Linked DNA regions of Stegostoma tigrinum. The protein of the gene in region 2 purifies or fractionates together with the protein of the main gene of each other region. This does not show direct contact. Links are inferred from orthologs where the notes say so. Each region holds a gene or a part of one and is shown on either strand. Other genes may lie near its edges.

Region 1 (8,305 bases), on a different chromosome or scaffold from region 2:
TGTTGTGCAATAAGGCAGACTTGATAAGGGGGCTTATGGTAAAGGAACCTTTATGAGGCAGTGATCATAAAATGATAGAATTTAGTCTGCAATATGAGAAGGAGAAGATGGAATCAGAGGTAATGGTATTACAGCTGAATAAATGCAAATACAGAGATATGAGGTAGGACCTAGGCAGAATTGGCTGGAAGAGAAGCCTAGCAGGAAAGACAGTAGAACAGCAATGGCAGGAGTTTCTGGGAGTAATTCAGGATACACAGCAAAAAATCATCCCTAGGAAAAAGAAGCATGGTAGAGGGAAGATGAGGCAACCATGGCTGACTAAGGTAGTCAGGAATAGCATAAAAGCAAAATAGAAAGCATATAATGTGGTGAAGGGCAGTGGGAAACTAGAGAACTGGGAAGCTTACAAAGACTAACAGAGGGCAACAAAGAAAGAAATAAGGAGGGAGAAGATTAAATATGAGGGTAAGCTAGTGAGTAATATAAATGATGACTGTAAGAGTTTGTTTAGATATATAAAGGGCAAAAGAGAGGCAAAAGTGGACATTAGACCACTGGAAAATGATGGTGGAGAGATAGTAATGGGGAACAAGGAAATAGCTGAGGAACTGAATAATTACTTGAATCAGTCTTCACGGTGGAAGACATGAGTACTCTCCCAAAAATTCAATAGAGTCAGGGGTCAGAACTGAGTATGGTGGACATCACCATGGAAAAGGTGCTGGTAAAACTGATTGGCCTTAAGCTGGATAAACCACCTAGACCAAATGGACTACACCCCAGATTTCCAAAGGAGATAGCCGAAGAGACAGTGGAAGCGTTAGTGGTGGTCTTTCAGGAATCTCTCGAGTCAGGAAGTGTCCCAGAGGACTGGAAAATTGCTATGTGCCATCCCTGTTTAAAAAGGGTGTGAGACAAAACATGGAGAATTACAGGCCAATTAGCCTAACGTCAGTCATGGATAAGATTTTGGAGTCCATTGTAAAGGATGCGATTTCTGAATATTTGAAGGTCTGTGGTGAAGTATGGCAAAGTCAGCATGGTTTACTTAAGGGGAGGTCGTGCCTGACAAATCTGTTAGAATTCTTTGAGCAAATAATGAGCAGGGTAGACCAAGGAGAGCTAATGGATGTTATTTACCTTGACTTCAGGAAGACCTTTGACAAGGTGCAGCACAGGAGGCTGCTGAGTAAGGTAAGGGCCCATGGTGTTAGAGGCAAGGTGCTAGCATGGATAGAAGATTGGCTGTCTGGCAGAAAGCAAGGTAATGGAATAAAAGGGTCTTTCTCAGGATGGCAGCCGGTGACAAGTGGTGTTCTGCAAGGGTCATTGTTGGGACCACAACATTTCACTTTATACATTCATGATGTAGATGAAAGAACTGTGGGCATTCCGGCTAATTTTGCAGATGAAACAAAGATAGGTGGAAGGACAGGTAGTATTGAGGAGGTGGGGAGGCTGCAGATGGATTTGGACAGGTTAGGAGAAGAAGTGGCAGATGGAGTACAACATGGGAAAGTTGAGGTTATGCAGTTTGGTAAGAAGAGTAAAAGCATGGACTATTTTTTAAATGGGGAGAAAATTCAGAAGTCTGAAGTGCAAAGAGACTTGCGAGTGTTAGTCCAAGATTCTCCCAAGGTAAACTTGCAGGATGAGTCAGTAGTCAGAAGGCAAATGCAATGTTGGCATTTATTTTGAGAGGATTTGAATATAAAATCAGGGATATACTACTGAGGCGTTACAAGCTGTGGTTCGGCCACATTTGGAGTATTGTGCGCAGTTTTGGGCCCCAAATCTCAGGAAGGATGGACTGGCCATGGAGCGCGTTCAGAGGGGATTCATGAGAATGGTCCCAAGAATGGAAAGCTTAACATATGAGGATTGTTTCAGAACTCTGGGACTCATTTGAGTTTAGAAAGATGAGGGGGGATCTAGAAACTTACAGGATACTGAATGGCTTGGACAGAGTGGATATTGGGAAAATGCTTTCATTAGTAGGAGAGACTAGGACCTGAGCGCACAGCCTCAGAGTATAGCGAAGATCTTTTAGAATGGAGATAAGGAGAAACTTATTCAGCCAGAGAGTATGAATCTATAGAATTCACTGCCACACAAGGCTGAAGGCCAGGTCATTGAGTATATTTAAGACTGAGATAGATAGGTTCTTGATTATCAAGGGGATCAAAGGTTATGGGGAGAAAGCAGGAGAATGAGGTTAAGAAACTTATCAGTCTTGGTGCAGCAGACTTGAGGGCTGAATGGCCTAATTTCCGCTCCTATGTCTGAAGGTCTAACCACCTGCAAGTTTTCTTCCAAGTCATTCATAATTCTGACTTGAAAATATGTCGCTGTTTCTTCAGTGTTGACAAGCTTAAATCCCAGAACTGCCTTCCTAATGGCATTGTGGATGTACTTCCACCAAATAGATTGTAATGGTTCAAACAGGTAGCTGACCACCACCTTCTCAAGGGAAACTAGGTATGGACAATAAGTATTGGTTCAGCCAAAGTTGACAATATCTCATGACTGAGTAAAAGAAACTGAGCTATTAAATTGCCCATTATTTATATAACGAAAGCCTTTTTATTCTTTCGGCCAGTCAATACTTTTTAAGATGATAATTACATATTTTATTACATTGTACTTCATTTGCCACATCTTTGCTCACTCAGTCATAAATCTTTTTGTTAGCTTTCTTGCATCCTCTACACAACTTACATTTCTACCTATTTTTACGCTGTCAGCCAATTTGGAAATAGTACCTTCTGTCCCTCCAACTCATTCATTAATATAAATTGTAAAATGTTCAGGCCACAACACTAATTCCTGTTTTCCTCTATTCCTTTTTGAAAAAAAACATTTATCGTGAGTGGCCGCTTTAAGTCAGCTGGCCAGTCTTCCATCTAAAGCTAATTTATTCCCTGCAAAACCATCAGCTTTGTCTTTTGCAATAACCTTTGATGTGGCACCTTATCAAATCCCTTCCTAAAATCTAGTACAGTACATTCACTGGTTCCTTTTTGTCCATAGCATGTGTTACCTCTTCAAAGAAGTCCAATCCATTGGTCAAACATGATTTTCCATTCCCAGAACCATATTGTGTGATAAACTTGAACTTTTCAAATTCCCTGTGATAACTTTTTTAACAATAGCTTTTAACATCTTTTCCATTACATATGTTGAGCCTGTATTTTCTTGCTTTCTACCTTGGTCCCTTTTTGAATAATGGGCTTAAATTCACTGCCGTCCAATCTCACGAGAGTGTCACCAACTAGAGGGACCTTTGGAAAATCAAAACAATTACATCAACTATCTCACTTGTTATTTCTTTTTGAAAGCTAGGATGAAGTGTAGCAGTACTCATGACCATGTCAGACCACAGTTCCACCAATTTACTCAGTACTACTTTGATGGTGATGTGATTTTCTTCCTCCTTTCAATTTCCTGATTTATTCCTACTTCTGCGATTTTACTTGTAACTTCCATCATAAGGACTGATGCAAAGTACTTGTTCATTTGTCATTTGTTTATTTTCCATTAATTCCCTTGTGTCATTGTTTGTAGGACCAACACCAGTTTTTTTTTCATCGGTAAGTATTTACAGAAACTCTGTCTGATTTTTATTTCTGGCTTGCACTGTAATCACTCCTTCGCTACTACTTTTGTAGACATTGTTTGCTTTCTTTCTGTTCCATCCCAAATTCTGACCTCCAACCCATCTTTGCATACTTGTATGCCAGTTCTCTTAGTTTGTAACTATCTTTACAATTTCTAGTATACCACAAGTGGTCCATCCCTTGGAATAATTCTTAATCGTTGGAATGTATCTGTTTTGTTCCTGAGTCCACTTGCAAGTTGATTGTATGCAAATCGGAACACAATGCATGGCACTATAAAGCAGCCACTTGTAAGTACTGGAAATGTTTGTAAGCCTGATATTTAAAATTACAGTCCTGTTTGGGGTTCACATTGGTAAGCATGAGAGTTTGTAATTCTGATGTTCAAAAGTTGGGGACTTCCTATACTGTGTGAATTCTGAAATATCACTTAAAATATCTGCTACAGTACTTTTAAATTCCTGAAACAGACCAACACATTTCACAGGAGTACTAGCAAACATAATTTTATTTGGGATACAAGGAGATATCATGACGGCAGAGAGGCAGGTTTGACCAGTTAATGTAGGACAGAAAACAAGAGAGATAAATAGGAAAGATTTGCAGAGATCAGCGCGTAGGCACGACTGCCAATGGCAAATCAGTTGGGATCAGGGGTGCCTAAGATGTTGGTTGGAGGGGAGCAGAGATCTTTCAGAGTTGAAGAGCTGGAGATTGTTCTAGACACAAGGAGGGAATGAGATCACGAACGGCGTGTCAGTCATGTGGAAAAACATCAAAATTGAGACATTGTTGGAATGGGGGTCATGTAGGCCAATGAGCACTGGAGAAAAATTAAAACTTCCAGTGGTTTATCAACACAAGTTGTTCTACCCTTGAAAGCAAATCCAGCATCTATTCATGCACAGTAGAACGTCTAAAGTGAATTCTGCGACACCATCCCACCCCCGCTCCCCACGCATTTGAACTGCGGTGGCACCTGACCACTAACGTTGGCCTGATTCAGTACAAGATGTATTCATTACAATTACTCGGAGCAGATTTAAATTATGGTACTCATAAACTCCGTGGTGTCCATCTGTTCCTACATTCTTGGAAACCCTACGGCAGATTTGTGTTTTTTTTTCATCCGGTTACGAGTCTAATCGAAACAGTGAGAAACTTTGACGGCACTCCAAAAGTGCACTTCCACTTAAAAATTGGGAAGGATTACTTCAATCGCTCTGAATCCCAATAACAGGTTCGGATGTTTGAAACCAAAGCGGTAGTTTTTTTGGGGGGGGAAACACAGTTTCTGGGGCAAGCGGGACTTAAACCCGAGTCACCTAGCCTAGAGGGAGGGATATTACCGCTGTACCAGCGCAGCCTTGAAACATCTAAGTAAACGTTACCTCAGCACATACCTGGTGAGTGAGCGTGTAACCTGATGCTTCCAGGAGAGCCCGCCTCCCCATCCACTGGTGGGGGCTGATTGGTGAGTGCGCCCATCGCTCGGATGGGGATCTGGATCCTGATTGGTGGTTTGTGCTGTCGGTCACGGTTGTGGCCGGAGTTTGGCGGGTGTGGGGGAGAGGAGGGTTGGATGCCCGGGTGTCCCGGGGTGGAAGTGGCAGGAATGTTTGGAGAGTCGGCAGTCAGTGGGTGCGAGTGAAAACTGCGGGATCCCGGGCGGCAGGCAGAGTGTTTGCGGCGGATGCGGATCTTATACTCACCACACGCAGAAACGCACTCCCTGTGACCGTGTGGAGCAAATGGCCTGCGGTGCAGTGAGGGGCAGTTTGGGCGGGGGCAGCTCGGACGAGCCTGTCTTCACCCAACTCAAACCGGTAGGTCTTCAGGCGGAGGAGGCGATGTTCGACGGCATGAAGAGTCCAGCGGCGAGGATGCTGGCGACGGACGACTTAGCCCAGGTATGTCCCTCTAAGAACCCCACTCTCCTCACTGCAACCGGAGCAAAACTGTTCCCTTCAGTCCTTGAAAACACGAAAGGTCGTTGAAATAAGTATGCAAACTTAAATAAACCCCTTTACAAAATGTTATCTCCCCACTCACCCCATCTCTGTAACACTTCAATGAGTTTCCTGAATACATAGAACATAGAGTAATCGTATTTCTTTTCCACATTGTATCGGCGTCGGAAGGCTTTTTTTCTTGCTTCTGATTTGCAACTATTTTCTTTCACGACCCCAACTTGTATTTAACAGTTACCCCCCCCCCCCCCTTTCTTGGAGGATTAAACGCCGCACGTTTGCGAGGAAGAGTGCCCTCTCTCCCTCCCGCCTGTTTTAACTTTTTTTTAAAAATAACGTTCATTGGAGATTGGGATCCGCAAGTGCTGCTTATTGTGAATGGGAGCGATGATAAGGAAATGTGTGTAAACACTGCGAGGGTGAATGGGTAGCAGCTAAAAGTTGTTGCTGTTGTGATCCCGGAGTCGCGCTGTTGACATTAGACTTTAGATCAAAAACCGAATTCTTGTAGGAAAAATGAAACTGAGAAGTTTTATTGCCGCTTCTCCATATTGACCGTTCTCGGATTTGAAGGCGTTGGTTTTAGGTTCACTTGTTTTGTTCACGTGAATTATATAGAATTTGTTCGTAATACATATTTTAATGTATATTGATATGAAGAAACAATACATTTCGACCAGCAATTCCACGATTACACTTCCACTTCCTCCCAGTTACAGGTGGGAGTGGCTCTATAACCTGGTAGTGCTGGAATGGCTAAAGTGTGTGTTGAGGGCGGCGTGCACTCAATCTTCCCCCGTACTCGACAATGCGCAGTATGCACCAGGCGTGGGTGAGGATGTGCTGTATTTTTATTTTTAATTTAGGTTTTTTTTGGTCAGTGGGTGAGGGCCGCAGCTGGTTTAGCACTTGCTATGTCGCGTTCAAGCATCTGACTTTTTCCTCGCCTACAGAGCAAGTCATTGAGACTAGAAAAAACTTCCCAGCACTTTGAAATTCTCCCTGAGCCACTGCACCGAAAATATGCCAACGACAGCTGGAAGATCTATAATCGGAAAACTTTGAACGTGTGGCCAGTCCCAAACTTTGCAACTTCTTTTTCAGGAGTTGGTGGGATCTGAATTTGCTGCATAGTTGTTCTCTCTGAATAATTGATCAGATTTTCCGCCAGTCAGCTGATTATTATTAGCGGGAGGGGTAGGGGGAGGGAATGCTCAAATATTTGGCATTATCGTGGAGTTTTTACAGATGAAAGGGGAATGTAGCATTTGTATCTTCAACAGCAGTGAGCATGATGAATATTTCCCTGATGACTCTGAGCATTCACCACCCCCAGGCTGTAGTGATATGTGTCTAACTATTACCCAAAGGTGTTTTCTATTTAAATCATTTTGATCTGTTTTGGAAACTATTTGAGCAACTATTTTGCAGTTAAGCTGCAACTTTTTTTCTACCTCACAAGGAACGTGTGGCATTATTTCACCTTTGCACATTAAAGTTTTGGTTGTATTTTAATGGAATGTTTTTAAACTTAATCTGCCTAGTGTAGATAAGTGTGCAATTGCATTTTAAATGGTAACTAACATCATAATCCTCAAATCATTCCTTCACTATTTATGTCAATGGTTATTGTAAGTGTGAAACAAGTAGATATATTGCAAAAAAATCTTTTTTAAGCCATCCTCATTTTCAAGTTTGTGTAGTTCAGAAAAGCAAAGAAAATAAGTGAAAGAACAAGATGCAGCTGGATTAGGTTGATGTTATGAGAGTGCAGTGAAATGTTTCTGGTATGTTGGAGATGACTGCTAATTCTTGGTGCCAGTTTCAGATGACTCTGTACAATCCTTTTCTAAACAAATGAAATGGCTAGATTTTCAAGCAATCAAAAGTTCATGTGCATGGTAGACAAACCCCTGTTTAAACCCGTATACACAAATCCCTCACCTTCCAGGACCCCTCAATCTCCATCTCAGGCAACCAGCTTGTAACTGATGTCCATTTCAAGCCCACCGACTCCCACAGCTACCTAGAATACACCTCCTCCCACCCACCCTCCTGCAAAAATTCCATCCCCTATTCCCAATTCCTCCGCCTCCGCTGCATCTGCTCCCACGATGAGGCATTCCACTCCCGCACATCCCAGATGTCCAAGTTCTTCAAGGACTGCAATTTTCCCCCCACAGTGGTCGAGAACGCCCTTGACCGCGTCTCCCGCAATTCCTGCAACACATCCCTCACACCCCGCCCCCGCCACAACCGCCCTAAGAGGATCCCCCTCATTCTCACACACCACCCCACCAACCTCCGGATACAATGCATCATACTCCGACACTTCCGCCATCTACAATCCGACCCCACCACCCAAGACATTTTTCCATCCCCACCCTTGTCTGCTTTCCGGAATAGACCACTCTCTCAGTGACTCCCTTGTTCGCTCCACACTGCCCTCCAACTCCACCACACCCGGCACCTTCCCCTGCAACCGCAGGAAATGCTACACTTACCCCCACACCTCCTCCCTCACCCCTATCCCAGGCCCCAAGATCACTTTTTCCATATCAAGCAGAGGTTCACCTGCACATCTGCCAATGTGGTATACTGCATCCATTGTACCCGGTGTGGCTACCTCTACATTGGGGAAACCAAGCGGAGGCTTGGGGACTGCTTTGCAGAACACCTCCGCTCGGTTCGCAATAAACAACTGCACCTCCCAGT
Region 2 (8,172 bases):
GGGATTTTCAACATCCAACTGATGGAGCCACAGTTTAAAAGCCCTGAAAGACAGTCCCAGCAACAATGCAGCATTCCCTCACTGAAAGGTCAGTCTAGATCACAATAACCATTCTGGTACACAGCCATACAACAAAATAGGGTACTACCACATCACACGTGATCTGTATGACTAAGTATCACACCAAATGCTATACTGAACTACTAGGGAAATATGAAAGACAAAAAACTGCGAAGAATGCAGCTTTGCAAAAGTCTGTAGGCATGTTCTTTTCCAAATGTGCACTCTTAAAAAATATAATGTATATATAAATATTTATGATTAAACCAAAATGAATAAAAAGTTGTGTGCCTTTATAAAAGCATAGTCCTATTTCAGACCTTAGAACATAAAAATAGAACACATAAAATAAATGCAATAAGCTTTATGCATCAAAAATATTGTATTGTAACAGAACTTTTTTTTAAATAAAGTGCAACAATTATTCTATCACATAAGATACAAGATAGTAATTTGAAAGGAGAAATGTTAACCAAATTACTGGAAAGATCTTTAAACACAAGTGCTTCCGATATAAAAATACTTACAACTTCAAGTTTAGCTTTTTTCTGCTAATTATGCTTCTGTATGCGTCCAAACGCATGTTACACAAGGATGTCCAATGATGCTCATGACAACAGTAAATGTCATTGCTACTAACTGACAATGCAAACATAACTTCATCTCCTGAGAAATTCTATCACCAGTGTAGTACAAGCAGAGAATCATAGAGATGCTATGCTGATCACAAAATATTAAACTCAGTGGGACTCAGATGATGTTGGAAAATGCAACAATGTTCTGCAGTTTAAAATAAATTATCCCAACTAGACAATGAGTTCAGAAACTTGAAATCACTCAAGGATATCAATGATGTTACTTATCTAAATTAGGTTCATAGTATGCGTTTAGAAATTTTTCCAATCCTGATCCGTTCTGAAAGGTACTAACCTTTGGAAGTCAGAAGTGCATGAATACCAATAGCATCTGATGCCTCAACTGAATGGCCATTCAACATGCCAGCACAAAACACTGATCCCTGACCAACTTTTTGAACACAGAAGGCATCGCACTCAATATAAACCAGACCTCACTGAGCACCCAACCTACTTCCATCACAAGGCAGGACAGACTTCAAACTCTTCCCAGCCCTCAATCAAGGGGTTGAGGTCGACTATGATAACTCGCACTCATCCTGTTTCAGCAGGAGCCAGTGAAGAAACCTGCAAGTTTTGGTTGTGTGATCCAATTTTTACACAGCAAGTAAATAAACTGGCTGGTGAATATTACCATCTAAGGTTTTTGCTTGTTTGTTAACTAGTGAGCCCATGTTGGGACAGCGTGCCTTTGACATCAGGTGAAAACACAGTGACAATCCAGATGCCAGTAACGTACTAACTCTCACTGCCCAAAACATGGATTAAAAACAACTTCAACAAGGCATCAGGCAGTGACTGGCATCGGTGGAGCCAGATCACAGTAAAGTGCTGACTACCTTCAGGGGAAGCAAACACAGGTTACTTCAGAATTCATCTCTTCACGGGCAGTTTCTCAGGATGACACATGTCCATTCTGGTTGGATGGGATCAGAGATTTCTGACAAATTCAAAATGCCATCTGCAGATCCTGGCATAGGTGGGGTAAATAGTGTTTGAACAGTCAGATAGATGACTTGTTTCAAGATTTGTGTGCATCCTCTGAAACATGGACTTTGACTCCGTATGTTCCCAATGAAATCTCTCAATGTATTCACTGCCTTCTCTTGTGGCCTTTCTGTCATGACCGAGTTGAAATGGGGCAGTTGCTTCAGGTGTCCGGTGTCAGGTACACAAACAATAGATCCTGTCTGGTGGAGCTGATTTTGAGTACTACATGTCTCAATGCTAAGCGAGTTGACTTGAGGTGGACACTACAGTTTCACCTTTTCATAGGATCATAGAATCCCTACAGTGTGGAAACAGGCCTTTTGGCCCGGCGAGTCCATATCGACCCTCAGAACATCCCACCCAGACCCATCCCCCTATAAACCACCTAATCTACACATCCCTGAACACTACGGGAAATTTAGCACGGCCAATCCACCTAGCCTGTACATCTTTGGACTGTGCGAGGAAACCAGAGCACCTGGTGGAAATCCACGCAGACACAGGGAGAATGTGCAAACTCAATGCAGCCCGAGGGTGGAACCAAACCCAGGTCCCTGGAGCTGTGCGGCAGCAGTGGTAACCAGCATGAAATCTGCAGGACAAGATATCCAGAAAAAATTTTTTCATTGCAGTCACTGGCAAAATGCAGGAAAAGTGGCAGCCAATTTGTGCATTGCAAGATCCCACAAACAGCATTCCTATTGTGGCTAGATCATTTTTTTAATTGATGATGATCAAAGAATAGTTACTGACCATCCTAGGACACCAGGGAAACTGTTTAAAACCTAACTGAAGGGGCCAACAGGGTCTTGGTTTAATATTGTGATGTGAACGATGGCATCGGTGACAATGCAACACTCCGTCAGCACTGCACTGGGAGTGTCAGCCTATATTTCACTGAAATCCTGGGGTGGGATATTGGGCCTAAAACCTTCAGATTCAGAGAACAGATCTTAAAAGAGGGGAGAAGAAAACAGATGCAAAATAGTGGAAATGCACAGACATTCACAATTAACCATGCAAATACTTCAGAAGAAAGCACAGAAAACATTCTTTGCAACAACTCACTTCAAAAGAAACTGACAAGTAAAGTAAAACTACCCCGTGGGTGAGATGCCTGGTTTTTGCCTCAAACTATAAATATTTTCCACAAGATGACTGCGAAAACAAACATTTTTGCAGCTAAAATCCACTGGGAAATTCAAAACCAGAGCTAATTGCTGATAAACCAGATAAACTTTTAAAAGGAAGAGACCATCCTCTTCCAGACCCACTGGGACAGTTTCTGGGGAGCTGCTGCTACCTTTGATAAAGTTTCACAGGCAGGATTTAAATTTCTCCCTGGCTACTCCTAGGCCCCGCCTGGGACATCCTGCAGCCCCGCCTCTCGATTTGCCTCTTCCCCGCCTCTCGGTGAGTGCCGGCTGGGCTGCCCGGCCCGAGGAAGCCCCGCTCACGGGAAAGTTGAGAGGGTAACGCCGGCAGCCTCGGTCCCCAACCCGGCACCGAACCAGATACCGCCCCCCGAATCCCCCTGCTCCGTGCCTGTCTGCGAGCCCGAGGGGGTCTGTAAAAACTCACTGTCTGCAGCCGGCAGGCGCCTGCGACTCAGATCCGGCGGCTCCTCAGAGACGCTCCAGGACAACCCGGGACCGACCGCCCGCCCGCCGGCCGGAGCTGGCACCGCTGGGTCCTAGTGCCCTACCCCCTCCTCCTGCCTGTCAGAGCTGGCACCGCTGGGTCCTAGTGCCCTACCCACGCCTCCTGCCCACCCAAGCTGGCACCACTGGGTCCTAGTGCCCTACCCCCTCCTCCTGCCCAAGCTGGCACCACTGGGTCCTAGGGCCCAATGCCCTCCTCCTGCTCAAGGTGACACCACTGGATCCTAGTGCCCACCAGCCCACACAAGAACTGGCACAAGTGGGTCCTAGTACCCAATGCTTTCCTGCCTGCCCACCCACCAGAGCTGGTACCAGGGGGTGCTAGTGCACCCCAGCCCACACACCACAGCTGGCACAAGTGGGTCCTAGTGCCTGGCAGAGCTGACATCACTGGTTCTCGTGCGCACCTGAGCAGATACCACTGAGTCTGAGAAAGCAGGAAATGCAGATACTGGACTGTCTGAGATAACAGGGTGCAGAGCTAGATAGAAGCAGCAGGCCAAGCAGCATCTTAGGAGCAGGAAGGCTGACGTTTCAGGCCTTGACCCTTCTTCAGAAATGGGGGATGGGGAGAGGGTTCTGCAATAAATAGGGAGAGATGGGGTAGCAGATAGAAGGCAGATAGAGGAGAAGGTAGGGGGAAGAGGAGACAGACAGGTCAAAGAGGCCAGGATAGAGCCATGAATGTAGGTGAATTAGGCAGGGAGGAGATAGGGAGCCTCTGCCACCATATTTACTTCTTTAACTGTGAGCCTAACCCTCCATCTACTGACCCCTTCTCCCACCTCCAACACACCCTCTCCTCCTGGACACCACCCCAAGGCCTCCTACCTTCCCTTGACCTCTTCATCTCCAACTGCTGCCAAGTCATCAATCGCCTCAATCTCTCCCCCACAGAAACTGCAGCCCTCCACTCCAATCCCAACCTCATCATAAAATGCGCGGACAAGGGAGGCGCAGTTGTAGTATGGCACACTGACCTCCCCATCACTGAGGCCAGGCAACAACTCTCCGACACCTCCTCCTAACCCCGCCTTGATCATGCCCCCACCCCCAACCACCAAACCATCATCTCCCAAACCATCCACAACCTCATCACCTCAGGTGACCTACACCCACAGCATCCAACCTCATCATTCCCTAACACTGCACCCCTCTCTTCTATCTCCTTTCCAAAATCCACAAAGCCTACTAGCCTGGTCAACCCATTATCTCGGCCTGCTCCTGCCCCACTGAACTCATCTCCACCTATCTCAACTCCATTTTCTACCCCTTGGTTCAGGAACCCGCTACCTACGTCCGTGACACCACCCGGGCTCCACCTCCTCCAGAACTTCCAATTCCCCAGTCCCCAAACACCTGTTTCAGTATGGGTGTCCAGTCCCTGTACACCTGCATTCCTTATGCAAATGGTCTGAGGGCCCTCCCCTTCTTCCTGTCCTGCAGGCCCGACCAGTCCCCCTCCACTGACACCCTCATCTGCCCAGCGGAACTGATCCTCACCCTCAACAACTTTTCTTTCAATCCTCCCACTTCCTACAAACAAAGGAGGTAGCAATGGATACCCCCATGGCCTCAAGCTACACCTGCCTCTTTGTAGGTTACGTAGAACAGTCCCTCTTCCATGCCTACACTGGCCCTAAATCCCACCTCTTCCTCCATTACATCAATGACTGTATCAGCACTGCCTTGTGCTCCTATGGAGGAGCTCAAACAGTTCATCCACTTCACCAAAACCTTCCTCCCCAACCTTAAGTTCACCTGGAACATCTCCAAAACCTCTCTCTCCTTCCTGGTCTCCTCTGTCTCCATCTCTGGCAACCACCTAGAAACCAATATCCATTCAAGCCCACCACAGCTACCTAGAATACACCACCTCCCACCCACCTTCCGGCAAAAACGCCATCCCCTATTCCCAATTCCTTAACCTCCATCACAACTGCTCCCACAATGAAGCATTCCACTCCCGTACATGTCAGATGTCCTCATTTTTCAAGGACGGCAACTTCCCTCTGCCCTCAGTGGGCAAGAACGCCCTCAACAGTATCTCCTGCATCTCATCCCTTACATCCCCTCCCCGCAATAACAACCAAAACAGAATCTGCCTCATCCTCACATACCACCCCACCAACCTCTGGATCCAACACATCATCATCCAACACTTCTGCCATCTGCAATCTGCAATCTGACCCCACCAAAGACATTTTTCTCTCTCCAGCTTTATCTGCCTTCTGAAGGGACCACTCTCTCTGTGACTCCCTTGTCCACTCCACACTCCCCTCCCATCCACCACACTCATCACTTTTCCCTGCAACCGCAGGAAGAGCTACACCTACCCCTACACCTCCCCCCTCACCCCCATCCAAGGCCCCAAGAAGACTTTCCACATCAAGCAGATGTTCACCTGCACATCTGCCATTGTGATATACTGCATCGTTGTGGCCTCCTCTATAATCGGGGAACACCAAGCGGAGGCTTGGGGACCACTTTGCAGAACACCTACGCTTGGTTCGCCATAAACAACTGCACCTCCCAGTCACAAACCATTTCAACTCCCCCTCCCATTCCTCAGACAATGTCCATCCTGGGCCTCCTGCAGTGCCACATTGATGCCACCCAAAGGTTGCAGGAACAGCAACTCATAATCCTCTTGGGAACACTGCAACCCAATGGTATCAAGGTGGACTTCATAAGCTTCAAAATCTCCCCTCCCCCTACCGCATCCCAAAAGCGGCCCAGCTCATCCCCGCCTCCCTAACCTGTTCTTCCTCCCAACTGTCCCCTCCTCCCACTCCCATCTCCTACCTACTAACCTCATCCCGCCTGCTTGACCTGTCCATCCTCCCTGGACTGACCTATCCCCTCCCTGCCTACACTCACCTCTCCTGGCTCCATCCCTGCCCCTTTAACTTGTCTGTCTCCTCTCCACCTATCTTCTCTATCCATCTTTGATCTTCCTCCCCCTCTGTCCCTATTTATTTTAGGATCTCCTTCCCCTCCCCCATTTCTGGAGAATGGTCGAGACCCAAAATGACAGCTTTCCTGCTCCTCTGAAGCTGCTTGGCCTGCTGTGTTCATCCAGCTCTGCACCCCATTATCACCAAGTTATACTGCCTGCCAGAACTGGCACCACTGGGGCCTAGTGCCCACCACCTTCTTACCAAATCTGACTCTGCTGGGTCGTAATGCCTGTCAGAGGCCATAGCACTGGGTCCTAATACCCACCATCCACCTACCAAAGCTGGCATTGTCAGGTACAAGTGAATGGCGGTCTTCCAGTACAAGCAAAAATCAACACTTGGGTCCTTGGGCTCTCCTACCATATGCTTTCTGGAGCGAGAAGTGCTGGGTCCCAGTGCCCATTCTCCTGACTACCTGCTGGGGTCTGCACTGCCAGGTTCTAGTGCTCATTGTTCCAGCCAGTTCGAGTGGGCTCTACTGGATCCTAGTATCTGTCCCCCTGGAGAGCAGTTGGGCTGGCACTAAAACATAGTAGTGCCAGTTCTTGCCAGAGCCGTACAGCTGGGTTCTAGTGCCTGCCTGTCTTTGCACCTCCCAGGGCCAGCACTGCAAGGTTCTCGTCAGTCTATTGTCAGCGTGAATGGGTACTAGTGTACACCTGCCCTCCTGGTTTCAGTAGGACTAGCAACCCTGTCTTAGTGCAGCATGGTCCTAGACCCCGGCCATTTAAGCAACACGGATTGGTGCAAGAGCTAGCCTACCCCTCCTGGGGTCAGCTTGTCTGGGTTCTATTGACTGACAATGTTATAGCTGTTAATTCCTAGTGCCTGCCCACCTGTCTGCCCATGCAGGTGACTCCTAATGCCAGTTGGATCATCCACTTCTTCACTGCAGGGCCCTAGAACTCACCTCCTCCAGTGGAAGTTCCTAGGGCCTACACACACTGTCAACAGAACTAGGTCCTCATGCATGCCAGAGCTGCAATTTACAACAGAATACATCTCATAAGCAAGGACCATCTCATCCTGTGATAGGTAACAGTTCAGTTCAAGTCACAGGAAAGCCCCTGTTGCTGTTAGCCATCACACCCTAAGAGGAAAAAAATATATAAATTTAATATCAAAGTTTTTTTTAAGAAGACAGTTACATTTGGTGATTGGCAGCTTGACCTTTATTTGAAGTTTCAGAATTCCATTCTCAAACCCAAGATTAATGGCTGCCTTCTATTATAGCGAAAACTGCACTATCCCATACAGAAAGGTTTCTGTAGTCGTGTTCAGTTAAATACAAATCACTACTATGTACAATAATGTCTCAAAGTACTTGTGGATTTTTCATAAAAATTCCACAGATAAAAAAAATTTCAAGCCAGTGTTGAAAAGTGTTCATATAATATAATTCCTGCAGAAATTTTCCTTCATCTTTTTAGCTCATAGAGTGTTCAGTTAATACAACCATAAAAGTCAAGAATTCCCTTTCCTTAATTTAAAAAAGGGGCAAGGTTGGTGAAGAGGACAGATTTTACAAAAGAATGTTAAAAAAAGGATTCCCTTTCAGTGATGGGAACTATAGATGTCCTCCCTAGAGCAGAAGAAGTGAGAAAATGCAGAGGGGAACTTGGCAGCATTAAGGGATTTCTTTGAGTGTGCTATCCTGTGTTCATTCCTTTTAACGTGTAAATAAGATGAGTTAATTAGTGTTCAACCAACTTGCATATAACCAAATTTATTTCTCTGAAGTCTTGCCACACACTGGATTAATTTAAAATAGCCTAGAGGCACTGTGTGATTACAAACACACCACCCATAGTGGAGACCCAGTACTGTCCTGTCTCTCTCATCTCCTGACACGTTTGAAGAGTTTAG

Evidence for each region.
Region 1: the proteins of raraa (region 2) and klf5a purify together in Homo sapiens (affinity purification with western blotting; 4 studies listed by BioGRID). This does not show direct contact. The link is inferred for Stegostoma tigrinum from reciprocal best matches to the Homo sapiens genes RARA and KLF5.

Annotation. Positions count from the first base shown.
Region 1 is NC_081359.1:25,686,495-25,694,799, forward strand, and holds the start of klf5a (Krueppel-like factor 5), read left to right. Parts: upstream 1-5,178; 5' UTR 5,179-5,371; coding exon 5,372-5,530; intron 5,531-6,313; exon of another isoform or gene 6,314-6,398; coding exon of another isoform or gene 6,399-6,422; intron 6,423-8,305. UniProt on the Homo sapiens protein: Transcription factor that binds to GC box promoter elements. Activates the transcription of these genes.
Region 2 is NC_081384.1:11,679,516-11,687,687, forward strand, and holds the start of raraa (retinoic acid receptor alpha-A), read right to left. Parts: upstream 3,375-8,172; 5' UTR 3,267-3,374; intron 1-3,266. UniProt on the Homo sapiens protein: Receptor for retinoic acid. Retinoic acid receptors bind as heterodimers to their target response elements in response to their ligands, all-trans or 9-cis retinoic acid, and regulate gene expression in various biological processes.